4 linked regions of the Diceros bicornis minor genome follow. The protein of the gene in region 1 interacts with the protein of each later gene in a biochemical or structural test. Links are inferred from orthologs where the notes say so. Each region holds a gene or a part of one and is shown on either strand. Other genes may lie near its edges. The genes, in order: DLG1, KCNA4, IQSEC2 and ARHGEF26.

Evidence for each region.
Region 2: the proteins of DLG1 (region 1) and KCNA4 interact in a biophysical measurement, tested with the Homo sapiens proteins (2 studies listed by IntAct, with this or other methods). The link is inferred for Diceros bicornis minor from reciprocal best matches to the Homo sapiens genes DLG1 and KCNA4.
Region 3: the proteins of DLG1 (region 1) and IQSEC2 interact in a test that uses a peptide from one of them, tested with the Homo sapiens proteins (2 studies listed by IntAct, with this or other methods). The link is inferred for Diceros bicornis minor from reciprocal best matches to the Homo sapiens genes DLG1 and IQSEC2.
Region 4: the proteins of DLG1 (region 1) and ARHGEF26 interact in a test that uses a peptide from one of them, tested with the Homo sapiens proteins (2 studies listed by BioGRID and IntAct, with this or other methods). The link is inferred for Diceros bicornis minor from reciprocal best matches to the Homo sapiens genes DLG1 and ARHGEF26.

The regions. Positions count from the first base shown.
Region 1 is NC_080754.1:29,485,181-29,492,752, reverse strand, and holds the start of DLG1 (disks large homolog 1), read left to right. Parts: upstream 1-4,563; 5' UTR 4,564-4,753; intron 4,754-5,212; 5' UTR 5,213-5,243; coding exon 5,244-5,262; intron 5,263-5,951; coding exon 5,952-6,083; intron 6,084-7,572. UniProt on the Homo sapiens protein: Essential multidomain scaffolding protein required for normal development. Recruits channels, receptors and signaling molecules to discrete plasma membrane domains in polarized cells.
Region 2 is NC_080746.1:85,611,049-85,618,093, forward strand, and holds the start of KCNA4 (potassium voltage-gated channel subfamily A member 4), read right to left. Parts: upstream 3,002-7,045; 5' UTR 2,659-3,001; intron 1-2,658. UniProt on the Homo sapiens protein: Voltage-gated potassium channel that mediates transmembrane potassium transport in excitable membranes. Forms tetrameric potassium-selective channels through which potassium ions pass in accordance with their electrochemical gradient.
Region 3 is NC_080781.1:46,648,377-46,656,349, reverse strand, and holds the start of IQSEC2 (IQ motif and SEC7 domain-containing protein 2), read right to left. Parts: upstream 3,002-7,973; 5' UTR 2,886-3,001; coding exon 2,179-2,885; intron 1-2,178. UniProt on the Homo sapiens protein: Is a guanine nucleotide exchange factor for the ARF GTP-binding proteins.
Region 4 is NC_080741.1:1,455,185-1,462,620, forward strand, and holds the start of ARHGEF26 (rho guanine nucleotide exchange factor 26), read right to left. Parts: upstream 3,018-7,436; 5' UTR 2,787-3,017; coding exon 1,950-2,786; intron 686-1,949; coding exon 646-685; intron 1-645. UniProt on the Homo sapiens protein: Activates RhoG GTPase by promoting the exchange of GDP by GTP. Required for the formation of membrane ruffles during macropinocytosis. Required for the formation of cup-like structures during trans-endothelial migration of leukocytes.

The sequences.
Region 1 (7,572 bases):
ACTTAGTCCAACTTTCTGTCCTGGGTATCTACCTTCCACTGACAAGAAAGCCTTGCTGCATTCTTTCAGGCTCTGCCTGATAGGAAACTCCCACCACCTTGGGGCAGCTCTTTGGAATTTTGGACAGCTCTGACAAACCATATTAAAGAAGAATTTCCTATGTTCCTGTAACTTTCATCCATTAGTTTTAGCCCTCTCCCCTGGATACACAGAATAAGCCTATTTGAAGACTGAGGTCAAGCTCCCTGGAGCCCTCTCTTTTCTCAAAGAAATGACCCTAGATTCTACAATTGTTCCCCTTAGGGTAAGATTCACATCTCCTATTGTTCTAGTTCCTCTCTTCTTTCCAGATGCTGGTTTGTCTAGATCCCTCTTAAAGTGTACAGCCAGGAAATGCCCCCTGAGCTCTCTGTGGAGATCTGACCAGCATGGTCACTTCCATCATTCTCAACATTGTTCCTCTTCTTGCAGCCTAAGCCGGCATAAGCGTTTTTGATGGCATCACATCCTTTCCTTTTAGTGATTGCCTTGGCACAGGCAGCACACTGCTGCTCTGCCAGAGTAAGAACAAAAGATGCAGTAGAGTCTGGCAGGACCTGGGTACCTTTACAGAGGATAGGCTGGGGACTTGGACCAGGGAGAGTACAAATTCAGAAATGTGGAACTATAAGGGTGGCTTGGGTAGAAGGATGGTTGGGAAGGGAAGATTTAGAACTGAGAGAGAATATTCTTTGTGATCAAATCTCTGACATCTCAATAGAAGAATGGGAGATTTGAGCCTTTTCCTGTGGTCCTCTGACTCCTAAGCCTTTTAAGCTATTTGAAAGAAAAGTGAACTTGGGGCTGGAAAGTGTATATATAAATTTTTTTTAATGAGGCAGTTGAAAAAGTAATCAGATCCTATATTGGATCCTATTCAATGGCAGCTGCTACCTGCATAAAGTAAGAAAGACTTCAAGGAAACAGAAGTTGTTTGGAAAAATCCAGTGTCATTGCTTTGTATGTTGTAGTGATGTGGTAGCCAGCCTCCAAGATGGCCCCTAATGATTCTTACCTCCTGGTATTCATACTCTTGAGGCTGACCTAAGTAACCAATAATATTGTGAAAACGATAGAGTGTTACTTCTGAGATTAGTTCATGAAAGATGTTGTGGCTGCTGCCTCACCCTCCCGAATCACTTGCTTTGGAGGAAGTCAGCCACCACGTCATGAAGACACTGAAGCAGTCCTACAGAAAGATCTTCATGGTGAGAAACTGAGGCCTCCTGCTAAAGGCAGCATCAACTTACTAGCCATGTGAGTAAGGCATGTTGGAAGAGCCTCCCTTAATCTCAGGTAAGAATTCAGATGACTGCAGCCCTGGTAGACATCTTGACTGCAATCTCTTGAGACCCCAAGCCAGAACCATACAGTCAAGGTCCTCCTGAATTCCTGACCTGCAGAAACTGTGAGATAATGTTTATTGTTGTTGAAGTTACTAAGCTACTAAGTTTTAAGCTACTAAGCTTTGAGGAATTTGTTATGCAGCTATAGATAACTAATACAAATGGATAGATAGGAGGAATGAGGAGTAAAGGCCTCTGTAGGGGCACCAGCCAGCGTGCCCCTTTAAAACCATGAGTCCTTGAGGCTCCTTGGCTGGGCTACGTGGCAGCACTCACGATGATAACAGTCCTGGGCTTGGCCAACCCAGCTGTTTTCTTGTGGGATAATTAGCACAGAGACCCTTGCGGTCTGAGGGAACACAAAGGCCCTCCAGAGGGGAGTTCTGGTCCTTGGAAGGCAGGTCATACAGGGATGATCCCCCTTGGCAAGCATGCAGCCTTTGTTCCTCTGCCTACTTAAGCAAGCTTCTCTCAGTGGGCAGTTGCCGGTGCACATCTCCTGTCCAGCCAGCCGCCACTGGACGTTCCCTGTAAGTAACTCCCTAATAAACCCATATGTCTTGCCCGCTGTCTCTGGGTCATTTCTTTGGTCTCTTGGCAAGATACCCTGCCACCTTAGCCCAGCTGGGTGTGCGGTCCTACAGCCCCTCATACTAGGCCTGCACTTGTCATGGCCCCTAAGGGTGGAGAAAGTGCTAGCTTCTTTTCTGCTTTTTGACACTGCTGACAACTGCATAGGGATAGAGGATGACAAGAAGGAAGGGCATCATGCCCTCTTGTCTCCTCTTTCTCCTCCCTCTTCTCTTTGTTTTTAGGGGAGGACTAGGATGACACTGAGAATTCACACAAATTTTTTTTTGACTTTTCAGTAGCTCTTGGGAAAGGCTGCGCTAGCCTTTATCCATTTGGTAGTAGGCTGTGGGTCCTTGAGAGCTGGGCTTGGATATTATTCATTTCTATCCCCATTGCCTAGCAAGTGAACGTATATGAACAACGAATGATACTAAGAGGGAGGGCGAAATCCCTCTCTCCTTCTCCTCAATTCTGAAGAGACTCCATTCTTAGAATGGTTCCTTAAGTGGAACCATTCCATTCACAGTTCATCAACGAAGTCTTGATAATAATAGCATGCGTGCCATCAGCCATTTTCACTATTAAAAACTCCCTTACTTCACTATTTTAAAAATCCCTCTATTTAAGCTCCTTGCTTTTAGGAGACTTCTCTCACTTTTACATCCCATTTCTTCTATGAAATGTTGCTTTAACTGTTGCTCAAGCTCCAAAGATGCTTAATCCACGACAGTATAGAGATCTGCTGCCAATACACCAACACACCATTGTATGGAAAGAGCCCTGGCCTGGAGCTAGGAGACCTAATTCTGGGTTGCTGTCACTGATTAGCCTATATGTCCTTGGGCAAGTTGCTTCTCCTCTCTGGACCTCGGTTTCTTTATCTTAAATGGAGAGAGTGGGTCTAGATGAGCCCTAAAGTCGTCGGGTTCTCACAAGAAGTTAAGATTCCAAGGTGCAATCCAGAAGTGAAACCCAGTGGTCAGAGGCATACGTCTGAGTAACTGTTATGGTTACAGTACAAGGTTCTCCGGACTTCCCTTTACTAGCCCAAGGATACGGCCTCCGTGAAAGGCTGTCAAGTTTACTGGGAAGAGTCTTCCGGTTTTGAAAGACACGATCTCCGTGTTTCCAGTTTTGTCACTAACTCTGGATGACCTTGGGCAAATTTTTCTCTCTCAACCGCAGAGCAGAGAGATCTTTGTTATCCAGAAGAGGCTCAAAGACCTGGGCAGTGACTTGAAGAGCTTTCCGTGATTCTCCTACAATCCGAGTGGCTCAGCCCCGGAGCAGGGTCCTGGCCGGCCAGTAGTCCCGCTCCAAGGTGCAATCAAAACTCAGACCAGCTCTTTGAGCGAGGGGCGGCTCGGCTTCGGAGGCGGCGGCTACAGGTGAGTTCTTAAGGGGCCGCCAGAGCTTGGGTAATACGTGGAGACTGGTGACTGGGCAGCGGACGTAGGCAAGGGGGAGTGAATGAATGAGTGAATGAAAGAAGGAACGAATTTTCTCTTCATACCCTTAAATGCATTCATTCATACTTGTGATGAATTCATCACTTAGACTTAAAAATCCCTTAGTAAAATCCTCAAACTCTTATCAAATTAACCAATCTCCCTATTTTACGTGCCCTTCTTTAATTCACCCCCCCCAAAAAAAAAACTTTTACTGAGGGGCGAATAGTAACTTGAAAAAAATCAGTGCAGAGTGGAAGACTGTGTGCAGAGATGGCACCCCCCACCCCCCGCCCAAACTCCTCCCTTTCCCCGTCCCAGGCTCTGCCCTCCCCGCCCCCTAACGTGGGGGGCGCAGTCCTCCCCAAAACCACTTTTCTAGGTTGGAGATCTACCCCCGGGAGCGCCAGGTACTCTCTCCTGCCTTTGAGTTGGAAACAGCATGTGTCTAGTGAGGTTAAAGGGAGTCCTGAAATGTGTCTTGGATCTGGTGTAAGTGAGGTCACGTCTCTCTTCAGACACCCCGACCCTTCTGGGTCTGGGGCGCTACTCGCTCAGAACCGCGGGGCACACCGGTGGACTACGGTTAGGTAAAGGCAGGCTCTTCCAGGCCACCCCGGGCCACCTGTAGAGTCTGTGTGTCAACTCCTTTGTCCTCAGAGCCACTTCGGTGGCCGTCCTTTTAAGCGAGGAGGTTCACTTGGGATGCTCCCCAGGTCCCCTTCCCCGTTCCCCAGCCCCCTCCCGGCCCTCCTCCCCCTTCCAATCCAAAGGTAGCAGCGCTGAGAGCCCGAGGCTCGGCGCGAGCCGCCTCCTCACTTCCCATTGGCTGGGAGCGCCGGGAAGGCGGTCACGTGGGGGCGCGGCAGTCCAGCTCGGGGGCCGCCATCTTGGCGGAAAGTTTGGGGGGAGAGCGGTTGGGGGCGCGGAAGGAGGCGAGGTTCCGGGGGTGGGGCGGCTAGAGGGAGAGAGGGCAAGCGGGCTAGCGGGCCGTGGTGAGCGAGGAGGCGGTGGCGGCGGCAGCGGCGGCGGCGGAGGAAGAGGCAGCGGGGGTGCGGCCGCCGAGGGGAGCTCCTCCCCCGTTCCCTCACCCCCCTGAGCTTAGCTCCTCGAGCCCCGGGCGGGGCGGGGGGACGTGGAGCGGGGGCAGGGCGGGGGAGCCGCCCGAGTCCGGCCGGAGCGCACCCCAGCTCTGAGCGCACGCCGCTCGCAGGAACTTTGTGGCGGCGCCGCAGGTGTGGGGGCCCGCGGAGGTGTGCATGTGGGGCGCGAGGGCGTCGCGGAGAGCGGCCGCTGCCCTGTCCGGCCCCCGCTGGAGTAACCCGGAGGAAGCGAGCCAGGAGAAAGGCAAGCGAGGGGAGAGGGCCCGAGCAGGGCGGGGTGATCAACCCAGCTGGTCCCTTCCCGGAGCGCTCTACAACCGCTGCTGGCTTAGGGGCAAGGGTCGGAGCGCCTTTTCACCCCCCCAGTAGCAGGTGGGAAGTAGGCATACTTATACCGGGGGAGGGGTGGCCCCAGGTCTAGGCATTTAGTGCCCTTTAGAGAGGGGGCAGCTTTCGAGGAGGATTTGGAAGCCGACTTCTCTCTGCTTTTAATTTGCAGGGCTACCCACCCCTGGGTAACAGCTTTCTAGATTGATTGACACTGCTAGGTTTTGAGGCTCCTCCTCTCACTTGGGAAAACTTTGCCAGGTGGGCTTTTCCAATAGGGCTGAGAGTTTTTCGGTTTGAGATTTAGGGGGAAATGCTAGTTTAACCACAATTCTTTTCTTTAGTTCTGTTTGCTTTCTGTTTTATGTTTTTAAAGGTGTGTGCCCTCTTCCTGATTCTGGAGAAAAATGCCGGTCCGGAAGCAAGGTGAGAATTTATTTTGGAACTTTCTTGTGAGTGTCACTTGCTTTTCTGTGTGTCTGTTTTGTGATTGCTGTGTTTTAAAAATGTGTAACTCTGATGAGACAGCACAGTCCTAACGTTAGTAATCTAAGCCTCACATCATTCAGAAGATGGAAACACTTAATGTTTGTCAAACTTTCTTCCTTGACATCTCTGTAGTGATTGGAGAGGCAATTAATGTTTTCCCTCTGAAGTGTCTTTTTGAAAACTCTTAATTGGTTTTTTAATATTTCACTTTATCATTTTTACTAAACACTATTTTGTGAGCAAATGTGGGATATTGGCTAAGAGCTAGTATTTTGAAACACTTGAGATTTGGATTATAATGACATTGTGGATAATCTGCTTTTGCATATCAGATCAGCTGAAACTATGTTGCTAATACTTTGATCAAATGATCTTTTATTGTGGTAGACTAGCCATACACATTTATTACAAACTACTCACCTTCCTCTTCTTTCTACTGTGACATATGTTTAAAATTTTTTGGATAATTCTAGGGAATATACCTGTACATGAACATAGTAATATCGATTGACCTGGAGGATTTTGAGAACTGTTGAGACGTCTTGCAGAATCATTTGCTTCATAGCTAGTGTGTAATACTTTCTTGTAAATATATAATTTTTATCAGACTCCTTTTTTCTTCTCAGATACCCAGAGAGCATTGCACCTTTTGGAAGAATATCGTTCGAAACTAAGCCAAACTGAAGACAGACAGCTCAGAAGTTCCATAGAACGGGTTATTAACATATTTCAGAGCAACCTCTTTCAGGCTTTAATAGGTGAGACTTATTACTTTATTTGTGACCATTATGTGTCAGCTGGGCTTAATGCTGCTCTGAATTCATTTATTTTACTCATAAGAGAGTGATGTACTTGGTTCTCTGTGAGTCATTCAGTAACTTGAATATGCAGTGAGTTGTATATTTTGATAGTTAGGCCAATATCCTTTCCAAAAAGATCTAATAACCAAAAAAACTTTCAGTATGATTATTTCAGTGGTCTTTGCTAACAGTGTTTCATATCCTAACATTAACTATTAAAAGATGGAGAAGTTGCAAAAATGTTTCAGGACTCAAAAGGTAACTACTGTGAATACTTGCTTCTGTATTTGACTTGTATTTCTGTGGAGTACCTGAGAATGCTTGAAGAGTTTTGCTGTGTTTAAAAACATTCATTCCTGTAGTATAGATGTCTGTTTGAACTTGGTATTCATGGAGTCAGAATTTTAGACCTGAAAAATGATCTTAGAGATAATCTTGTCTAATCTTATTTTACAGACAATAAAATTGAAACAGAATTTTATTAATTGTAATTTAAATATGAGGTGGTGCATTGTTTTGAAGGAGAACTGGACAAATAGTCAAGAGTCTTGAATTCTATTCTTGACATTGCCGTTAATTGAATGATATTACACAAGTCATTTAACCTTTTTTTTTTTTTTTTTGTGAAGAAGATCGGCCCTGAGCTGACATTGGCCAATCCTCCTCTTTTTCCTGAGGAAGACTGGCCCTGGGCTAACATCCATGCCAATCTTCCTCTACTTTATATGGGACACTGCCACAGCATGGCTAGCCAAGCGGTGCGTCCGTACGCACCCGGGATCTGAACCAGCGAACCCCGGGCCACCGCAGTGGAGTGCGCACACTTAACCGCTTGCACCACCAGGCTGGCCCTGTCATTTAACCTTTTTAAGGTCACAATATTAGCTGTAGAATGTGGGTGCAGTGGAACAGTGGTTTTTAAGCTTTTTTTTTTGAGTGGCTAGATCCTTTCTTAAAACAAAATCTTATATTTTGTACCCAATCCTCGGTATATAAAACAAGGTGATCTGTCTCTGGCCCTCTCCTCTAGTACCTTGAAAAGTATGCAAACCACTGAAATAGAAAATTTGTCCCTTCCAATTCTAAGAATATAATGTTTTTTTATTAGTCATTGACTATATAACATATTAACACAAGACATACACTTCATTGCATTACATTTATTTTCTCAGTAACTTCCAAGTATATCGATATGACCTCACATCTGTCTGTTGTTAGAGTAACTTTTGATGTGATTTGAGGACTACCTTCAAGTTTGTGTACCCTGTCAACTTATAGGTAAATTGATATTCTCTGCTGAATTTGTTTTAGAATTAAAGATTTTAAAGAAGACCACTGAATACACCTGAATATTTTTTACAAATTTAACATTTTAATAGACTTTTAAAACCATACATAAAAATGGAGAGAACAATATAATGAACTGCTGTACACCTATGACCCATCT
Region 2 (7,045 bases), on another chromosome or scaffold:
ACGAAAAAAAAAAATAATGCTGTCACTTTACAGCTGCTTCCATCATTCACTAATCTCAAGGCATTTTTTTAAATTTCCACTCAAAATATTTCTGAATTTAGTCCCCTTCCACCCCTACTCTGTCTTGATTCAGGATTAGAGAAATCGGAACAACTAGTTTTCCTTAATCCAGGCTCCACTGCTTGAACAAGCTTCAGTCACCTTATCTACAAAGTGTAGGTAATAATACAACCTCCCCCCTCCCTCTTGGAAGCATTAAATGAGATAAAAGATGTTGATAGAATAGCACAGAGCCTTGTACATAACGAATATCAATAAATGCTGGTAGTTACTAATACCATGACAGTAACGTAAACTGTTACCATCTATCCACCCACACCCACGTGTGTATGTCCTTACAGCACTGTCTCAAGTAGGGAAGGACGGAACGTGAGGACACCCAGGGTGTTCTGAGACTCACCCGGGGCCTGTGTCGAGTTGGCACTCCCTGACTCCCTGAAGCATGTCCTTGTTGTTGCTTTTCTGTTCCTCAGACTCCAGAACACTCTCTGCCACCCACAGCCTAGGAGCTAATCTCCGTTTCCAGTTGTCTAAGAATCATCTTCTGTCCTTGCGTTCCTCCATGTTCACTCTAAGGCTTCCTCCTACACTCTTCTCAAGGGACTATCTCCTTACATTTTAAATCCCAGTTCGTGTGGACTTTATTTTCAGCCTATCATACTTTCCCCTATAATTTAATCCATAGCTCCCATCCCTCAACCCCTCCTCCTCTCTCTCTGCCCGCCTTTACTCCCAATCTCCCCCTCCCTGACCACATCTTCCTTGCAGCACACTCTGTCCCCACTGTCACTTGGTAGTCTTGGCCTTTCTTCTTCCTTGGTTTCCTCTGCCTCAGTCCAGCTAATTCATCTTCTCCACCAGGACCTGTAAAAGCTCCCACTCCAGTCTCCTGTCTCCTCTTGCTTCTTCCATTCACTCTGTCCAGCAGGACTTCCAAGAATGCAAAGAGTGGCCCGGGGAACCGGGAAGGATATGGACACTCAGAATTCAGGGCATCAGAATGGGCACCAGCTTCTATTACTGGAAGCACTGGGGGAGCATGAGAGAAATGGCTTTCTGCAGCCATTAGCAGGATTCGGCTCTTGACCACCTGCTGCTGCTTGCGGAACCATGCCAGCCTAGAAGCCTCAACACACCCGACTTTTACGAAGAGATAAGCAGGGAAGTGGCAGACAGAAGGCTTCTCAGCCACATATCCCTTCCCAAGAACACACATTCTCATAGGGCAAGAGGCGAACTTGATGGGACACAAACCCCTGAAAATATACCTCTAAAGGTATCTCAAATGGCATCCTCTTTCCCTGACTCCGAACATCATCCCATACTCTGAAATGTTTCCCTCAGGAAGTCTCCAAAGCTCTGCTTTCACTGTGGAGGGTCAGACCAACATCCTTTAAAGACTTTCACAGGCCAAATAGCCTAGGAGTCTGCTCATCTTCTTCCCCAACTCCCTCAGAGCAGTTATAATACATTATTTACATAAAGCTCCAGTGTAACCAAAGTGCCTGTAAATTCGTATACTACGCACACCTCTCCCGCCCAACTGACGCCCAGAAGGTCATGAATCAGAGGGTCTTCTCATTCACCATCTCCTGCCCCCTTTCTGTTCCACACCAAATAATTTCTAATTTATTCCTTTATTTATTTAGGTGTGCTAGTTTTTGTTTATCTAACTCCCTCCCCCACCCTACAAAAAGCAAATTATCTTCCTTTTAATTGGCTACCAGTTACCTCACTATCCCTGATCTTTAAAAAAAGAAGAAGAAAGAAAACATCCTTCTACCCAGCAAACCAGACTGGTTTAGAAATTCTCTTCCTTCTCAAGGTATTCCTGTTAGGAGAATCCAGTCAAGCCGACTCCCAGGAGCCTTTATGGGGGAGACCTTTGCAGCGAAATGTCCCTTCCTCTTTAACACCATCAAACTAATACGATTTTGCAGACTACCCGTTCCCCAAACCCTGCGCCCCCAAACAACAGCAAAGCATCCCGCCCCTCCTCCTCCCACCCCCAACAGGGCTGTTTTCATCTCTCAGTGCTAATTCCTGCAACTGTCTTAGGGTGGTACCTGAACCTTATCAGGGAGAGAGAGAAAGAGAGAGATTGAGAGAATCAGAAAGGCCAACACCGTGAGAAACATACACTTCAACGCACGCCATTTGCACAGTCGCTATGTGTTGCTCAAATGCTCAGCAAATGCACGCAAACCCAAATGTTGGGAGAGGCAGCAATTCAAACCGCTCGCCAGCTGTTTCCCAAGGAACGGAACCGGTGAGCCTGGGAGGAGGCGAACGCTGCTGAACCTGAGCCGCGCCTCGCCGGGACGACATCTTCCATCGCGCCCCCGCCTCCAGCCCCGGCCCCCCGGCGCCGTGTGCAGGGCGCACCCCCATCCCCAGCCCGGGGGTCGCGATAGCGACCGTCGGCCCCGAGCGCCCCGCAGCATCTGCACCTCCCTCTCCACCTCCTGGGTTATTTTTAACCGCCTTCCATTCATGCCCTTCTGTCACATTCCCGATATTATTTATCCCTCAAACGCCCACTGCTTCTGAAGAGCCGTAGAGGAGAGTGGGGAAAAGACCCGAGGGCACCACACTTACCGATCCAGGCGGGCGCACAAGAAAAATAGAGAGAACCCCGGTGTCGTTCCCCCCAGAGCGACAGCAGCCGGAGGAGGGGAAGAGCGATCTCGGGTAGAAGGAACCACTCCGGGGAGGCAGGCGGAGGCTCCAGGACATCCAGGGAACAAGTTCTGTCGCCTGCACGGGGGCGCAGGGTTCTCGCCGCTGGAGCCCGGGGCGGGGGTCGGGCTGCGCCCGGGAAGACCCCAAGACTCGGGCTCCTCCGGAGTTCAGCACAGGAGGGCCAGGTGGGAGAGGAAGTCAAGGCTCCGCAGCAGAAGCAGCGGGATCCTAGACAGCAGCGAGCGCTTGTTAGCGGGAGCAGCGCCTGCAGCACGCATCCCCCGCGCGCGGCGCTGCCGGCGCCGCACACGCCTCCCGGCCGGGAGCGCGCGGGGGGCGGGGCCAGGGCGGGGCGGGGCCTGCGGCTGGGGGCGGGGCCTGCGGGCCGGGGCGGGGCGAAGGGGCGAAGGGGCCGGAGGGGCGGGGCCTGCGGGCCGGGGGTGGGACGCGCGCGCGGTGGCAGGGGCCCCGGGGGCGGCGCGGCGGGGCGGGCGCGGTCACGACACCGTCCCCGCCAGCCCCCGCACAGCCCCGACGCCCGGCTCCCGGGAGCGGGTGGGAACCCTCTGGAGCCCCGAGCTGTGGCCCCGGGGGGAGGAGCTGGTCCCGACGGAGGAGCCCCAGGAGAGGTCCGGAGGGTGCCCTCGCCGGGTCCAGTCTGGACAGCGGGGTGATTCTGGGCGTCCTCGCCCCCGCCGGGCCCGCTGTCTTTGCATCTCCCCGGCACCACCGCGCCCATGACGGGTTTGTGGGGTCGGGGCCCGGGGCCCCTCGGGCAGGCAGCCGTCGGGGGCTCTCCCGCCTGCGCGCGCGCCCGGACCCCGCGGTCCCGCCTCTCCGCACAGACCTTCGGCCCCAGCTCGGGAGTCGGGCCTCAGGGCGCGGAGGACCCATGAGGGGAGGGCTGCAGAAACTGGACCCGGCCCAGGCGAAGGGAGGCAGAGTCCGAGGGGGAGAGAGGCGGGGGACTGGGGCAGCGCTAGCGCGGCCCGGGGCGGGGGCTTCGGAAGGAGAAGAGCCCTCGGTGAACCTGTTGCTGGGCAAAGAAATGCGATTCGGCAAGAGGCTTGGCTCCGGGGAGGTCTCTACCGTTACGGTCGGATCTCTAACACCACCTACCCCCATTGAACAACAAAAGCCGCATTACCCCCGTGGGCACTGCCCCGTGGGCACCACCTCCATACGCACTATCCCCGAGGGCACCACCCCCGAGGGCACTACCCCCGAGGGCACCACCCCTGTGCGCACTACTCCCTGGGCACTACCCCCCTGCCACTACCCCCCAGGGCACCACACCCGAGGGCACCCCCGTGCACACTATCCCCGAGGCCACCACCCCTGTGCGCACTACCCCCTGTGCGCTAGCCCCGAGGGCAGGCAAGTGCGCCCGCAGCGCGTCCTCAAAATAGGCTGGACTCCAGGTTGCTTATTAGGTGGCTGGCGTATGAAATGCCCCCGGACGTGGATGTAAATGTGCAATCCCCACAAATCCACAAAAAGAAAGGTTAGTGGTGGGAAGTGCGAATTTACACACAGACACGCCAGAAGTTCAGGTGGCGACCGGGGCTCCGGACACCACGCCCCGCTCCCCGGGTGGGCCAGCCAGGTGGTCGCGGCGCGTGCCCAGGCTGCTGGAGAAAATCCGACCTTGGGAGGGTCAGTTGGCGCCGAGGCCGCCACTGTCGTCCTCAGCTGGCAGCTTTGTTCGAGGGCCCTATTGGGCCTCCTCCTTTTGTGGCGCTCGATTAATTATTAAGAGAAATATTCCCGAACTGAATTATAGATATGCCCTGCGCTCACCAGCTAACCGGGGCTGGCTCAGCGAAGAACACCTGGAGGACTGCTTTTCCTTGCTGTTTGATTCTTTTGATCTTTTTAAATAACTAAAAGATTCTCATTGTAATCAGTGAAAAGAAAGAAATAAAAGAAAGAAAAGAAAAACAGATGTGGGGTCTGGTTTTCCTAACATCCTCCAGCTAGTGCAGCTTGAACTCTGGGGGTGACTAAACCGACCTGTGAGGCTCTCGTGGAGGAACTGAGAGAGAGGCGCCTCCAGGCGGGCTCTGGAGAGGCTCTGCCTCTGCGCATTCCCCACCCTAGTCCGTTCCGGCACGGAGGGAGGGCCGATGTCCCCAGAAACCATCACCTGCACTGGCCCCGACCCTCCCTCTGTACCTCCTCAAGGTGATGGAGTCCCTGTGCGGTTTCGTACATTCCGACTGGAAGCAGATGATTGCGGCTATTGTCTCATCAGAACGATGTTTCTTGGTATGGTGGAAAGCAGGGCTGAGGGCACAGGATCCTGGGACTAGTTTCCCAAAAGCAATTTGTGAGATCAATTGGGAGCAACTGTGGAATGCTTTCAGGGAGATGAAAACTGAGATTGAATGATGCACAAAAGATGACAGTTACGTCGAAGCTTGGACATTTTAACTGGACCAAGTTAAAACTTGATGAATTATGCTTCCATGTGCCATTTACTGTTTGTTCCTATCATGGCCTAGAGAATTTTAAAGTTTAAAATGCCTGAGGATTTATAAATATTTGCGCTTCTTAGGTATCAGGAATCTGAATTCCTAAAGCACCCCAGGAAGAATGCAGCTGAAGGAAAACCCTCTCAGAAGATACTCATTCAGGTGCTATGAGGATTACTTGTTGAAGACTTGATCAAGGCAGGTAACGCTCTTTCAGGTGCCCACCCAGGACCCCGTCTGTGCTAAGTGCTTCGCATGCCTGTTGGCTAATTTTATCTGCCTAACTGAACACTTTATGTGGTAGGTCCTATTATTATCACTATTTTATAGAGAAGGAAATGAGGCTTACAGTGTTTAATGAACTTGCCCGAAAGTTATAACTAATTATGTAGCAGAACTGGGCCCTTCAATCTGACTCTGCACTGTGGACAGACCTCACGCTAGTGAGGGTAACACCGTGTGGTCTTTGCCCATTTGTCCTCACAAACTAGTGTCTGTTACAGATGCATAGCCAGATTATGAAACAAGGCAGGTATGCTATGATGGAGGTATGAGAATGGTGTTCCTGGGATGCAAAGAATGGAGTAGCATCTAATTTGGGGGAAGCAAGCAAGGATTGACAAGGAAAAAGGAGATGTCGCTGAAGAATGATGAGAATTGCAGTGGCTGCCGTAAAGAATGCACAGGCATGTGGCCCTAGGGTGAACCAGGAGTAACTGGAACCTGACAGATAGGTGGGGTCCCACTGGAGAGGACATGCTCCTCCTCCAGGCTTCCCCTCAACCGTTGCACGCACACACACACACAGACTCACACATTTCCATGCACACACACCTGCATGCACACACACACAGGCACAAAACTCTTTGCTCTTTTAAATAATTTCTTTATAAAGCAAACAAGAAATACTCCATTTCTCTCCCTGAAATTCTCTTAAGAATTCCTAGAAATACACACAAATAAACAGTAGCAGAAAATTCTTTGCTTGTGCCCAACAAAAATCTACCTGTCTCAGTCTGAAACTGTATTTTACTTGGAGAGGAAAAAATTATTTTATTGCCTTTCTTAGTCATCAACTAGCCAAAATTTTTCAGATGCCCCCCTCTATATACACCTGTTACCACAAATAATTTCTCCCTGGCTTTGAATTCTCTCACTGCTGGTACAAATGTTCCAGACCACACTAGGAAGCCTTTGTTGATATAGAAAGGGGCAACAGGCAGCAGATCCTCCTCTGTACAAAACAGATGGGAGAGGCCTTGTGGGATTAAACTAAGTCCATTATCAATGTTTTTGTTCTCTTTGGGGACCATGGTCCCCAGTGAATTGCAATGTTCTGTTTACTCCTCCTCTCTCTCCCAAGAAGCCTGTGACACCTCCCTGAAAACAGGCACTGTATCCCAAGCAACCAGCCCAGCGCCTGACCCCAAGTGAGCACTCAATAAGAATGAACGAAAATGAATGAATAATGAAAAAGGCTTCCATTTGCCAAGAAAGTTCAGTGCATGTATTGGGAGAAAACTAAAAGAAGATCGCTTTTTTACCTGCTTACCCCAGCGCCTCACCTCTCTGACTTTCAAAGTTCTGAAGGATGTGAGAGTGAAAAAGTCCTGGGGGACTTGATTCCGTGTCTCCCATTCCCAAATTTATGGATGCAGATGTTCTGAGCAGCCCATAATTCCTTATAAAATGTGAGTCACTCAGCTAGTTTTTTTCTTGTACATGGAATTTTTTTTTTTTTTTTGGTGAGGAAGATTAGCTCTGAGCTAACATCTGTTGCCAATCCTCCTCTTTTCGCTGAGGAAGATTGGCCCTGGGCTAACATCTGT
Region 3 (7,973 bases), on another chromosome or scaffold:
AGATAATAATGGATGTGCAAATATTTAATATATGGTTAGGAGAAATTCAAAGTACTATCTAAACCCCCTTATTAATCCAGTAGCAAATGCAAAGCAAGGAAATCCAACAAACAGCCTGGAGGATGCACAAAAAGAGGGAAGGACCAAGAGGCGGGCTTGCACGGATGGCAGAAGCACAGAGCTCAAGAGCAAATGGGCTTCCAGCCAGCCAAGAGATTCAGAACCATGTCTGCAGGATAGAGAATCTGAGGGTTTTGGAATCCTGGAATTGGGGAAGACTTAAGTCATTTCATTGGGCTTTACACCGATTCAGGAATTACACTTTCTCCAGCTCTCCCGGACCCCCACCGGGCCTCTGCTGGACAGATCCAGCCAGCCCCCAACCCTGCCTGGTGATGCAGATGGCTGGACTGGAAAGTTCTTCCTGATTTATCCCAAATTTTCCCACTGCTTCTGGTTCTGCTCCCTGGAGCCACACAGAATGAGGCTGCTTCCTCTGTCACCATCCTGACCACTCTAGAAAAATCTTCCCCAGCCAAGGTCCCACCACAATGCCCATCCAGTCTGCCTCTGTCCCTAGCCCACCATGGCCCTCTCCTGAAAGGGCCTTGCTTGGCTGATCCAGACCCTTCCTCCAGTGTGGGGCCCCAAGTTGCACTCAAGCAGTCCTCCAAGAATGGGCTCCCAGCAGCCTCACCTGGGCAGGAGAGCCCATCTCCCTCACCACCAGACTACTCTGGGGCAGTCCACACCAAAACTCAGCTGAGGGTGTACTGCAGTGGAGCTCAGCCGAGCCGTCGAGCTGCAGCTGCAGCTCCTGGGGCCCAGCCATCTCAACCCAGCACCCCAGCCTGCTGCCTCACCACGGGGGAGTTGCAGAGAGCTGTCTCCCGGCAGATTTCCTGAGGCAGAAGGCTTCCCCACCCCCAGCCCAGCCTCCAAGAGACACTCCACTGGTTGTGGCACATGGTAGGACCAGCTGAGCAGTGAGAGGAGGGGGAAGGCTGTCCATTCGCTAGAGGACTTCAGACTTGCTCTGTAGTGTGGCTGGATTAGTCACAGAACCATCAAATCTAAGCTGGAGGGGTCTTTAAAGAGCATTTAAGGCAGACCTTGCCTTTTAGAAAGATATGGGAAAAGTGATGCCCTGAGAGAGGAAGGGACTTAGTCAAGGTCACAAAGCCAATCTGCAGCAGAGCTGGAAGGGAAACCTGGGTCTCCTAACTCCCAGTTCAGTGTTCTGTCCAATACAGCAGAAGAGAAATCAGGGAGCCTTTAGGGCAGCTCTGTGAGCCTGCACGCCCTTGACTCTCTCAGCCTGACATTTATCCCGACCAGCTCACCATGGTATCTGCATGGAAGAAGCGCACCCAGCCCATGTCCCACCAACCCAAGAGATATTGCCAAGTTGTGCCAAATAGGCAGACACACCGACACAGACCCTAGCACAGAAACTGGTACTCATCCAACAAGAGGGAAGATCTGTAGACTTCCCTTCCTGGTACTCTCTTTAATTGGGTGGTGTTTTTCTTGAGGGTGGAAAGGGGGTGGTCTTTGAGGAACTAGCCAAGGGTCAGGCCTCCATCTTTGCTCCCCCATCTTTGCTCCCCCAGCCGGATGTGCTGCAGTTCCCCTCAGAGGGATGTCTCAGCCTCCAGCAGCCATTCTGGTCCCCAACTGCCTCTCTGGGAAAGGATGCAGCTGAGGCCGCCAGAGGAGACAAGATCAGGCCTGCACCAAGCATCTGCAGAGAAGACCCCAACCGGCAAAAAAAAAAAAAAAAGGAGGGCTTTCTTTCCCTTGGGGCTCTGACTTGACACCATCGCAGACAATAAAAATCCCAAGCAGCACATCCAAAATAAATAAATAAAAGAAAAGCCATCCTCTGGCAAGGATACAGCTAGGGGGTGAAGAAGTGAAGGGGGTGATGACTGCTCTAGGCCCTCACTGGCCACGGTTTTGAGAAAGAAGCGACACCTGCACTGATCGGCCAACCCAGTCTGGGGTGGCTAGAGAAGGGGTGCATGAGGGCGACCTGGCTTCTCCTGACAGGTTGGGACAGGAGAAAAGGACATGGAATCAGACACTGGCTTCTTAATTTACCGGCCGGACAAGTTGGAGAGGGCACAAGAGGGGAAGAGCCGGGGTTGGGGGCGGGGTACAAACCACGTTCCTTACTTTCTCTGGAGGGTTGTGGCCGGGCTGGTGCTGGTACTGGTGCTGTGACCACCGCCGGCCCCGGGGCTGGAACTCCTGGATGCGCCACGGCTCAGCTGGCCCCGCTCCCGCGGTGGCCGGGGCCCCACGCCCACCGCCACCGAATAGCCAGCTTCCTTCTCTCGGCCCGGATGCGCTGGTCCGGCCTCCCGCCCGCCACGCTCGCGACCCAGGGCTGGGTTTTCGTGGTGCAGGTGGCACTGGGCAACGTCGCGCTCACGGGCTGGGTAACCTGTAGTGTCCTGGAGCGGGTAGGAGGCATCCCGTTCCTTGTCCCGATACACAGCCTCCCGGTTCTGGTAGGCGCCGTCCCGGTTCGGGTAGCCCACGTCCCGGGCCGCCTGGTGGAACTGGCTCTCCCGCAGCTCGCGATGGTGGAACTGGGTCTCGCGCAGGTTCTGGTACTGGCTCTCGCGGCCGGGGCTATCCCGCGCGCCGTGGGGGTCCCGGTGCAGCTCCCCGCGGTGCAGCTGGCTCTCCTCCCTCAGGTCGCGGTTCTCCTGGGTGAGCTGGTCCAGCTGGCCCTCCAGCTCTTCGATGCGCCGTCGCTGGGTCTCCAGCAGCTGCTGCTGGCTCTCGATGATGTTGTTCAGCTCCAGCAGGTACTCCACAGCCCGGTTGGGGCTCTCGGATCCCGGACCGCCCGGGGGCCCCGACCCCGCCTCCATCCTGGCGGCCCAGGGGCAAGGGAAGGGGCAAGAGAGCCGGGTCCCCGCTCGCTCACGGCGCCACCCTCCCCCGGGCCCAGCCGGGGGAGGGGGCCGGCGGGACGCGAGGGCGCGCACCGGGCTCGAGGGCCCGGGGGCCCGGGGGGGCCCGGGAGACAGCGCTGGGGCCGGCGGCACGGATAGCAGGAGCTGAGGCGGCTGCAGCTGCCGCTGCAGCTGCCGCTGCCGCTGCCGCCGCCGCCGCCGCCGCCGCCACGGCGCTCCGCCCGCTGCGGAGTCACTGCGCAGCGCGGCCGCGCGGGACCGCCCCGGCCGCCGGCCCGCCCCCCACCCCTGCCCCCACTCGGCTCGGCCAGGCCGCCCCCGCGCGCCCCACCTGCCGCTGCCACCCGCACCCGAAGCCGGACCCGCCCCAAGGCACACGGGTCAAGCCAGGGCCAGCCCCATCACAGGCTGCCAAATTCTCTCCCTTCCGGTCCCAGGATCCTCACCTAATGCAGCCTAACGAAGCCCTCCATCCCAGTCCATTCCAATGTCCCTCAGGTCCGCCAGGCCCAAGAGCTTCACTGAAGACATCCCAGGAACCCCCATCCCAGGCAACCCCCATGTTCAGGCATCCCACGGACTCCCCATCCCCTGGGTGTGCCAATCCCAGTGTCAGAATCCCCATCCAATCCAACCCCTGGACCTTCTATCTCAGGCGACAACCGGCCAGCCCACATCACGGGCAGTCCCTGGATCTCTTATCCTCGCCAGTCCCTGGACTGTCTCCCCATCCCAGCCAGCCCCGTGTCCCTCCAACCCAGCCAGTCCCCAGCTCCCCCATCCCAGCCAGCCCCTGGTACACCACCCCCCACCCAACACACACAACATCACAGGCATCCCCTACTCCAGCCAACCCCTAAACTCTCCATCCAAGCCAGTGCCCAGTTCCCCTATCCCAACCAACCCCAGGATCCCCCAGGTTAGCCAGTTCCTGGGTCCTCCAACCAAGGCAGTCCCAGGATCTCCCATCCCAGCAAGCCCTGGGACTCCCCATTGCAGCCAATCTCAGGATCAAAGCTCCATTCATTCATTCAACCCTCATTTTCTGCTCTCCTTTGGAAATGCTCTCCTCCGTTCAGTCCATCATCTCCATCCAACGAAACTGTAACCATCCTTCAAGACTTAAATGCCACCATACTGAAGCCAACCCTGATTTGCCCAGCCAGAAGCGCTTGCTTTCTCTCTCTCTTGACCTCCCACTGCACTTCCTCTACACTTCTTGTGGCACTGTGGGACAAGTGGAACTCTGCTTTATAGCACATTCATTTGTGTTTTTTTAATGTCCTCTGCCAGACTGAGTTCCTTAAAGCCAGAAACATGTTGTCATTCATCTTTGTGAGCAGGTTGCGGTAGAGGAGAAAGTATGAGTTTTACAATCGGACAAAACTAGATTTAAATTCTATCTTCTCCTCTCTGAACTTCCATTTCCCTATCAATAACACCTACCTCACAGAGGTGGTCTTGGAAAAAAGCATGCAAAAACATTTGGAACAGAAAAGACAACCACAGAATGGGAAGAAATCTTTGCAAATGATATATCTGATAAGGGCTTTGTATCCAGAATATGTAAAGAACTCTCACAGGTCAACAACAAAAAGGCAACCCAATTTTTTTTAATGGGCAAAGGATTTGGATAAACATTTCTCCAAAGAAGATGTACAAATGACCAATAAGCACATGAAAAGATGCTCAACATCATTAGCCATCAGGGAAAAGCAGATCAAAACCACATGAGCTTGCTGTGCTACCCATAAGGCGTTGTTCTGAGTTCCTGTCATAACTTAAAGGGAAACTTTTACAGTGTCCAGAGCCCTGATGTCCTACAGATGTAAGAGGAGAGTGTACTTAAATTCCTTGCAGCTGAGACCCACTTAGGTGGCAGCAACCTTGACTTCCAAATGGAACAGTGCATCTACATAGGGAAAAGTGATAAATCATAAATTTAGTTCATAAATAAAGTTCTCATCATAAATCTGAAGAGAACCTGGGAGAAGCTTCTGCTGGTGGCTTGTGCCATTGTTGCCATTGAAAACCGGGCTGATGTCAGTGTCATATCCTCCAGGAATACTAGCCAGCAAGCTGTGCTGAGGTTGCTGTTGCCACCGGGGCCGCTCCTATTGCTGGCCCCTTCACTCCTAGAACCTTCACTAACCAGATCCAGGCAGCCTTCTGGGAGCCACGACTTCTGGTGGTTACTGATCCCAGTGCTGACCACTGGACTCTCACAGAAGTGTCTTATGTTAACTTGCCTACCACGGCTCTGTGTAACACAGATTCTCCTCTGCAGCATGGGGACGTTGCCTTCCCATGCAACAACAAGGGAGCCCACTCAGTGGGTCTGATGTGGTGGATGCTGGCCTGGGAAGTTCTGTGCGTGTGTGGCACCATCTCCCAGGAGCATCCATGGGATGTCATGTCTGATCTCTATTTCTGCAAAGATTCTGAAGAAACTAAAAAGGAAGAGCAGGCGGCTGCTGAAAAGGTTGTAACCAAGGAGGAATTTCAGGGTGAATAGACCGCTTCAGCTCCTGAGTTTACTGCCACTAAACTTGAGGTCACAGACTGGTCTGAAAGCATGTAGATGCCCTCTGTGCCTATCCAGCATTTCCTTGCTGAAGACTGGAGCACTCAGCCTGCCACTAAAGATTGGTCTGCAGCTTCCACTGCTCAGGCCACTGAATGGGTAGGAATGACCACTGGGTGGTCTTAAGCTGTTCTTCCACAGGCTCTTAAACAGAAAATGGAAATAAGGTTGTTAAGAAATAAACATCGGTTTCTTAAAACACACACAGAGACACATGCGCTGAGATACCACTTCACATCCACTATGATAGCTGAAATAAAAAGGACAGACAAGGAGAAATATTGGCTAGCATGTGGAGAAATTAGAACACTCATTTATTGCTGGCGGGAATGTAAAATGGTGCAGTCACTTTGGAAAACAGTTTGGAAGTTTCTCAAAATGTCAAACATAGAGTTACCATATGACTCAGGAATTCCACTCCCAGGTATATGCCTGAGAGAAATGAAAACATATGTCCGCACAAAGACTTGTATATGTATGTTCATAAAAGCATTATTCATAATATCCAAAAAGTGAAAACAATCGAATGTTCATCTATTGACAAATGGGTAAACAAAATGTGGTATATCCACACAATGGAATATTATTCGTCCATGAAAAGCAATGAAGTACTGATACATGCTAAAACATGGATGAACCTCGAAAACATTATGCTAAAAAAGATACAAAAGGCCACATATTGTACGATTCCGCTTATATAAAATTTCAGAATAGGGAAATCCATAGAGACAAAAAGTAGAGTAATGGTTGCCAGGGGTTAGGGCATGGATTGGGGAAAGGGGAGTGACTGCTAATAGGTATGGGGTTTTTTGGAGGGAGAATGAAAATGTTCTAAAATTAAATTGCAGTGATGGTTGCACAACTCTGTTAATTAAAAACCACTGAATTATACATTTTGAAAGGGAGAATTTATTGGTATGTGAATTATATCTCGATAAAGCTGGGTTTAAAAAAAAAAACACCTTGCACAGAGTCTAGCACATAACAGCAACTACAACAGTAATAACTAACACATCTGTGGTGCTTACCATGTGCCAAGCACTGTGCTGAACACTTGACATGTACAAATGCACTTACCTCCATCTTACAGATGAAGCAAGTGAAACCCAGAGGTTGAATGACTTGCCCAGGGTCACACAGATGCATAGCCAGGATGCTCAGATGTTTCCTTCTCACTTCTTTGTATCTTTCCTCAGTACCTTGTATAAAATAGGTGCTCCATAAGTGTTAAATTAATATATCCATCAAATACTTCTATTCATCCAGTGAACATTTACAGCGCATTCATTATGTTCTAGGCAATACCCACATTCCCGTCCTTATCCCTGCTTCTTTCATTCAGATTCCCTGTGGGGCAGGGGGCAGATGGGTACAAAGATTTATTCACAAAATATTTATTGAGTGTCTACTATGTGTCAAGCACTATTCCAGACACTGAGGATATAGCAATGAGCAAAATAGACAACAGTCCCTAACCTCAAAGAGCTGACATTCTAGTGGGTGAGAGAGATAATAAACAAATAGAATATAGAGAGCATGTTGTATGGTGTATTGGGTTGAATACTATCCCCCAAATCTTGATGTTCACTCTGTGAATGTGACCTTATAGATGGAAATAAGGGTCTTTGCAGATGTAATCAAGTTAAGGTGAGGTCATACTCTATTAGTGTGGGTCCTAATCCAATGACTGGTGTTTTATAAGAAGAGAGAAATTTGGACACACACACACACACACAAGGAGAACACCATGTAAAGATGGAGGCAGAGATTGGAGTCTACAAGCCAAGGGATGCCAAGGGTTGCTGGCAACAATCAGAAGCTAGGAAGAGGCAAGAAAGGATTCTTTCCTAAAGGCCTTCAGAGGGAGCATGGCCCTGCCAACACGTTGATTCTTGACTTCTAGCCCCCAAAACTGTGACAGAATAAATTTCTGTTGTTTTAAGCCACCCAGTTTGTGGTACTTTGTTATGGCAGCCTTAGGAAACTAACACAGATGGTGCTCTGGAGAAAGACAAAGCGGGGAAGGATGATGGAGAGCTCTGGGTGAATCAGGCATAGGCTGTGCCCTCAGGAAGCTCCCAGTCTAGTCAGAGAGCTACAACCATAAGTCACAAACAAAACCATAAGTCACACAAGCAAGACAGAATGTGCAAAGCACTAGAATGGAGGCACCAGGACTGGGGTGCTGGGAGGTCTCTATGGATGTGAAAGTATTTGAGCTGAGCTTAGGATTTCAACAGGTAGCACAGAGGGAGGAAAGGAACAGAGTCAGGAAAGCAATGTGTGTTTAGGGAACCACACGTAATTTGGTTGAAGAGGGCATGAGAGACGCACACGTCTGTGTGTGCGTGTGTGTGTGTGTGTTGTAAGGGGTAGGAGGAGATGAGAAGACATGGTTTGATTCAGCTTGGAAAGACTCCATTGCCAAACTGGAGCATCTGGACCTTCTTTTACATGCA
Region 4 (7,436 bases), on another chromosome or scaffold:
CCATCAGGGCTGCAGGCGGGGCGGCTATCCTCATGTTCTCCCAGTTGACACCTGACCCACCTATTTACACACAGTCCACTAATCTGATTAGGGTTTGAACACCTGGTGAAGCGGCTTTTGTTTTTGAGATTCTTAACAAAAATACTATACTATTCTTAGGAATTTGTTTCTGTCAGCCAGGAGAGTTAGATTTCCCCAAAATGGAAACTTGACAAGGAAACAGGCGGTCAGAAATGATACTAAAATGCAGAAATACGCGGAAAAGAAGCTTAAGTCAAAGGAAATAGGACCTAAGGATATAGGACTTTAGATCTAAATCCCAAACTCCCCGAAAATTGAAGAGCTGGGGCCTGCTCCTCCTCCTCCTGCGTTTCCAGGGAGGGGGGGACAGAGCAGGAGAGGGAGGAAGTAACACCCCAGGACAGTGACCAAGTCATCAGCTTACAAGAATGCCACCAATTTCACTGACTGTTGGTATCACGAGACGAAAGTTCAGCTTCGTGCAGGGCTTTGTGCTGTATAATTTGGGAAGAAGTTGGACATTTTTCTCATCTCAAGCGTTTTTGCTACTGCAGTTGGATTTCGACTTCTGAGTGAAATTCCACATTGAAACAGCAATAAAAGTCTGGAAAACCACATGCTTACCTTCCCCATCAAATGCTCCTTGTCCTTTCAGCGTTGTTTTCTAAGAAACAAGAAAAGCAAAAAAAAAAAAGAAAAAGCATAGCAAACTATGTATGAATGAGCCAAACAGAAAATACAGCTGTTTTAAGTAAAAGTCCTTTTCGTTACTTTCATTAGGGTTCCAAAAGCATGCAGCCGCTGACCCTGGGAGGGAGGAGCTCACGCATGTGACGCTACAATTCACAACAGGGGAAATAAACAGTGTCCCCACACCCCGTCAAAACAGCTCGGAACCCTCAGATGAAGCAGTTCAGCTCATTTCACTATTCATGACTCACCTCACTATTAAACTGAACTCTGCTATACTTGCAGAGTTGGGGGAAAAAAACACATAAAATGTCATGTAATTTCTTTTCTTTAAGGCCATAGGATCTAAAATAAGACAGGCTTGCTGTGTGTGACATGTGTACAGACTGGTTCCAGTCCTCCGATTAATCAGGAAAGGATGTGGTGCCAGAATGAGTGTCTCCCTGCTGCTGTCTGTCCTGTGTCTGGAGAAGACAGCACACAAACTCCAAGACACCCCTCTCCAGCTTCCCTGTTCCTTCCCCTCCTATTTGGCAGCCTGTTAACAAGTGCAGCTCCTAGGCCTTATCAGGAAGCAGTACCACCCACTTCACTCTAATCTGAAGTTCTGAGCCACCAACTTGCTAAAGCACTGCAGGATGAGTGGGCACCAAATGGGAATAAACACAACCAGAGGCCGTGGTGACAGAAACAAGCAACAACAAAGATGACAAACTATGTGTGTCTTCTGTGATTCTGGCAATTGATTTCAAAATTCACATATTACCTACATGGCATTTATTATGTGATCACCACTCAAAAAATAATTCAATAACTAAATGACTAATGTAAATAATTAAAACAGTCAACAGGCTCAAAGGAAGTCAGTGTTCTCCTGGGTCGGCTGTGATGGATCAGCACGCACTGAGCGACCCCTGCAAACCAGCACAGGACAGCTGACCCAAGATCGTGAGAGCAGAGGACGCCTGCTCTCCATCCCCTTTTCAGCTCCTGTACTAAGCGTTTGACTCACTCAGCCAATACTTAATTTGCGGTATTTTTTTCCATTTGCCCACCACATTTTGCCTGAACGTAAGAGAGTTATACAACAGTGGTAGGAGTTTCGCTTCCCCCCACAAAGCTGCATTACCTTGGGCAGTGCCGGCCAGCAGCAGAATGGCTGAGACAGAGGTGCACAGGTCTGACCCACCAACCACAGAGGGAGGGCCCCTCCCCACTCGACACCTTCCTACTCCTACCTTCGTCCTCCCCAGGCTGGAGAACCTCTCCTTGTCCTCCAGCACGGCTCTCAGGACAGGCTGGGACATTCTGTTCTTCTTCTTCGAGGTGGCCGGGCTGTCCACGTCAAGGCCACTGACCACAGCCCTGCGGTAGGAGGTGGAGCGCAGGCCCCTCCGCAGGGAGCCCGGGCTGTCGTCGGCGCCGTCGGGCGGGGGCGCGGGCTGCGCGGGGCCCAGGGCCGCCCCGAGCCCCTCCACCATGCTGCGCGCCTTGACCAGCCTCCGGTGCGGCTCGGCGCCCTGGCCGCCGGGCCTGCTGGCCCTGGTCTCCGAGGCCAGGCCCCTGGGGATGATCTGCTGTTTGCCCACCTTGAGGGCGGCCGGGCTGTTGGTGCTCAGGACCACGGCGGGGCCGTCCGGGCGCGCGTCCCCCCGCGGGGGCGGCCTCCCCGGGGACGCGGGGTCCTCGGCCGCCCGCGCGGCGAGCGCACGCGGGCCGGGGCTCCGGGGGCACAGCCCGTTCTCCGCGGGCGCGGACAGGGGCCGGGCGGCCGGCGGGGCTGCGGTCCGCGGGGGGCGCACGGGCTGCGGCGCGGGCGAGGCCGCCGGGCCCTTCGCCGGGGACTCCGGGGGGCCGCCCGACGCCGCCCTGGGGCCCCGGGGCGACCTGGGCCGTCGGAGCCGCGGGGAGACAGCCCTGCCGCCGGGGGGCACCGTCCTACCGGCCGGGGCGGGGGGCGGCGCCCGGTCCTCGGCCGGGAAATCGGTGACCAGCAGCCCGCTGGGGCTCTGGTAGGAGCGGGGCCGGGGGGGCGGGCCGCCGCCGGAGAGGGGCCCGCGGCCCTCGCCGTCCATCGCGGAGCCCGCGCGTCCACCGGCCGGCCGGGAGCCTCCGGCAGCGCGCTCGCCCGGCGCACTCGGCGGCCGGCCCGCCACGCGGTCCACGCGCGTGCCCACCGCCCGCCGCCCTCCCGGGCGGGACCCGCGCCGGCCGGACGGGGGAGCCGCACGGAGGGCCGCCGCCGAGCGCGGACGCCGGGACAGCACCCTCTCCGCGGGCGCGCCCCGCGCCAGCCGGCCGCCCGCCCCGGGCGCAGCTACCGTCGGGCTCCGCCCCGCCGCCGACGAGCCCGCCCGTGGGTGGCCCGGCCCGGCCCGCACCGAGTCCGCTGGCGGGAGCGGCCGCCCCGCCCGCCTTGGCCACGCCCCAGTCCTGGCCCCGCCCTCGGCCCGGCCCCGCCCCGAGCTTGGTCTCGCCCCCAGACTGGGCCCCGCCCTCATCCTGGCCCCGCCCAGGGCTGGCCCCCCCTCTTCGGCCTTGGCCACGCCCCCAGCTCGGCCCCGCTCCAGGCTTGGCCCCCTCCTCGGCCTTGGGCACGCCCCCACCCCTGGCCACGCCCTCATCAGGCCCCGCCCCAGCCTCGACCACGCCCCAACCATGGCTCCGCCCTCAGCCTTGACCCGCCCACAAACTTGGTCCCGCCCTGTGTGACCCCTCCCCCAGCCTTGGCCTCGGGTGGTCTTAAAACGCACATCCGGTGGCCTCGCCCCCGCGGCGTGAAATATTCTGTAATCTGGGTTTGCTCGTTCGTGCCGCGGTGTTCCGAAGGGCCCGCACGGCCCGCTGCGGAGGGGCGGGGGTGCTTCCATCGTCGTCTCCGGGTGTGTGTGCTGAGTCCGGAGTGTGACCTCTGAAAAGTGACGCGGCTTCACCGGCGACAAGGTGCTGGTGTGCGAGCGCACGCGGACACCGTCAGGATCCTGTCCCTCTTGGGAAGCCCTGCGCCGCGCGCCGCCTCTGCGGCCCGCCCTGTCCCGCTGCCCCTCGACCTCTGACCTGTGGCCGTCAGAGAGGCCTCCGCGCCGCCCTGACCCCGGCCCGCGTGTCTGCTTTCCCAGGCGCCTGTCCGCGCTCACGGCAGCCTGCGCGTGTACCTGTGCTCGTGCGCCCCGTCGCGCTGTGCCGGGGCCGCGGGCTCGGGGCGGCGCGTGTCCACTGCCCGCTGGCCCAGGCGCACACCCCGGAGTGGAGGAGGGAGCGAGCGACGCGGCACGGGGACCCTCCCCACAGCGCCGCTGCCAGATCCAGACGGGCCTGGCCGGCTCCTGCCGTGCGCGCAGAATGAGGCAGCTCGAGGAGACGACGCTTTTCGGGCACGACATCTGTGTGATCAGTTCTGCTAGCAGCACGTGTGGGCTGATCGCCGGGTCGGTTCAGCCTGCGTGCATCCGGCGGGGATGCGGTGAGCATCCAGTGTGTGCGAGTTCGCTCTTGTGGTTGTCCTAGATACGTCGAGTGGAAGGGCCAGAGATATTGAGGCCATCTCTGGGTGGGGAGGTGAAGCATGATGTTTTTCATGCCTCTTTATACTTTCCGGTTCTTACCAAATGCTGTACATTGAATATATGTTACTTTGATCTGAAATATTTTTATAAACTAGAAGAAATGGCCTCCAAAAATTGAGTTTTTTAAAAAGAAATTTACCAAATATTTTGGCTGGAAGAAATATGGCTGATTACACACTCACACATACCCACTTAATACAGCACATTTTCATACTAGCACATATTACTTTTATTTTGGAAAAATGTAATAACTAATGACAAAATGAAATGTTACCTAATTCGGAATGCGATCGGTTAGACGCTAGCTTCTCTTCAAATTATGTTGGATCTGCAAACAAGTGTAACTGATGATTGTGAAGAAATCACAGGATCTTCCTACCTCATCCCAAAGGAACAACATGATACCCACCAAAACAGCAACAACAAAACACCAAGCTCTGGTCCTTCACTGAGGGAAGCTCTGAAATTCACAGACCTCCTGCCTCTTTTAGCCTCCATTCAGTTTCTCCTATCGATTCAAATCTAAGGCATCTTTGATTACATGGAACACCAGAGAAGGAGAAGAGCTGCCAATTAAACTGTGACACCATGTGTTATCACAGAGGATTTCTGTTTTACACTTCCTGAAACAGTGCCTTTAGACTTAGACAAAGATTTCTCAGTAATGTGCATACATGGAAAAGGAAAATGTAGGCAAATAAATTGATTAGAGTATTTCTAAAAATTCTGTACACTTAGTCTAATTCTTCTGAATCCCTTTTCACGCAGAGCATCAATACGTGTGTTTTTCCACACAAGATCATTGATAGTGCAGCATTTCTTAACAAATGTTCTAGTCCTGTCTCTGGGATCTGCTTCCTAGCCACTCACACTCACTCTGCAAGTTTGATGCTGGCGCTATCCTTTGTGACTGAAAGCGTAGTTTTCTTGTTCAGCTGAATCACCTGCCTACAAGCTGTGCAGCTTCTCTATTAACGGATGGAAGGAAGTTTCTGACAAACTGTAGCTCCGGGCCTTCACTATAGTCCTGTGAGAGTTTGTGTGTGTAGTGCCTGTGATCCGTGAATCGGTTATATCAGCCTCTCTTGCTTTGGAATCCCTTCCATCTAATCTGACACATCTGGCAATTTCTCCTGCCTTCAGCTGCATTTCTTGGCATATGGCTTGGACACATGTAATACTAAATTGCACAGTTAATGGAATTTACTTAATTCCACAGAAAATGGAACAGTTATGACCATGTTGACAAGCACAGAGGCAATGCCAGGTATGTCATGACTGCCACCTGGCCGATGGCTGTTTCCTTGACAGTACACATCCCGGTGTCAGAGATGGGACCAAAGTGCTTCTTAGGATTGGAGAAATATAGTATATTGAACTAGTAGGAATGACATATTCCACTGGTATGTTCCAATGGTATAGTTTTTAATTTTTAAAAATTTTAATTTTTTTCCAGTTTATTGAGGTATAATTGACATATAACATTGTATTAGTTTAAGGTGTACAACATAATGATTCGATATATGTATATATTCTGAAATGATCAGCACAATAAGTTTAGTTAACATCCATCACCTCACATAGTTAGTTTTTTTTCTTGTGATGAGAACTTTTATGATCTGCTCTCTCAGCAACTTTCAAATATACAATACAGTGTTGTTAACTGTAATCACCATGCTGTACATTACATCCTCATGACTTATTTATCTTATAACTGGAAGGTTGCACCTTTTAACCACCTTCACCCATTTCCTCCAATGACATATTGAACTATTAAAATATTCAATAGTATAACGCAGGATACCAGAGGCTAAGATACCAATTGTTGCTACATTTACTAAACAAATTTGCCTTGATCACCAATTATGTGTGTGGCATAATAATTAGGCTAATTTTTAAGTGCAATTTGTTAACTAGTATTACTACTTTGCAGTTATATCTCATGCACTCTTTATTCATTTATTTACATATTATATTGGGTGCATTTAAGTGCCAAGCTCTGGACCAGGCCTTCCTGAAGCTTATAACCTGGCTGATTCACTACGTTTGAAATATTAAAATAATCATATAAGGCACCTAGGCTGAGTAAGATGCATGCTGAGCTCCCTGCTCTACGAAAGGCTTTGTGAAGTCTGGAGAGAACTGGGCCAGAGAGCAGGTCAAATATTGTGGGGTGAAGAGGAGACAGGTATCCCAGAGAGCTGCCCCAGCAGGCACAGAACCACGGGGGGATGGCTGGAAAACTGATGTTTACTAAGAGCCAATGATATATGAAGCACTGTCACTCACCTCACATCGATCCTGTATCTACACAAAGAGCTCTTTATAGACTGTTGTTTAGTTGTTGAGTCAGAAGCCTGACTGGGGTCTGTCAGACTCCAGAGCCCATGAGCTCCCATACCAGAGACTAAACTCACGAGAACAGAGAGTTTGCATGTAGAAGTTGTGGGAGATTAATTCAGCTAAATATGGTGAGACTAGACTGTGGTGTGCGACATAAACTGAGGGTCTGGGATTTCCCTGGATGGCATCTGACACTCTGAAAGTATTTAAGCGTTTCTATCCTTTAAAACAAATCGGACGATACCAATCTCAGAAATAAAAATAAATAAAAATGAACGGATTTGTTTGTACATTAAAAAAATTCAACTAAACTCATAAAATCTGAGGGAAATCTTCTCTTAGAGGAAAATTAGAGAAAAATATTTAAACATGCACATAACAGACAAAGCGTTAGTATCTACATCATTAACAAATCAATAAGAAAAAGGTAACTATGGAAAATGAGCAAAGAGTGAGAATACACATTTCAGAGAAGACACAAGTGCCCACTATACATAAAAATATACTCAGCCTCAATAGTAAAAACAAAATTAAAGCAGTAATGACAGCATAGTTTTTCATTCATTAGATCAACAAAGATTTAAAAAAAAACACAAAACACCCACTGTTGGTACAAGTGCAGGCAAAAGGGGGTTCTGACCCATTCATACTAGGAATGTAAATTGGTACAACCTTTCTGGAGAGCAATTAGATGATACTCAATCAAACCTTGAAAACAGGCAAATCTTTGACCTAGTAATTCCACACACAGGAAATAATCCTTGGTGTGTGCAAAGAAGTACGTTCAAGGATGTTCATCAAAGCATTTCTTACTGT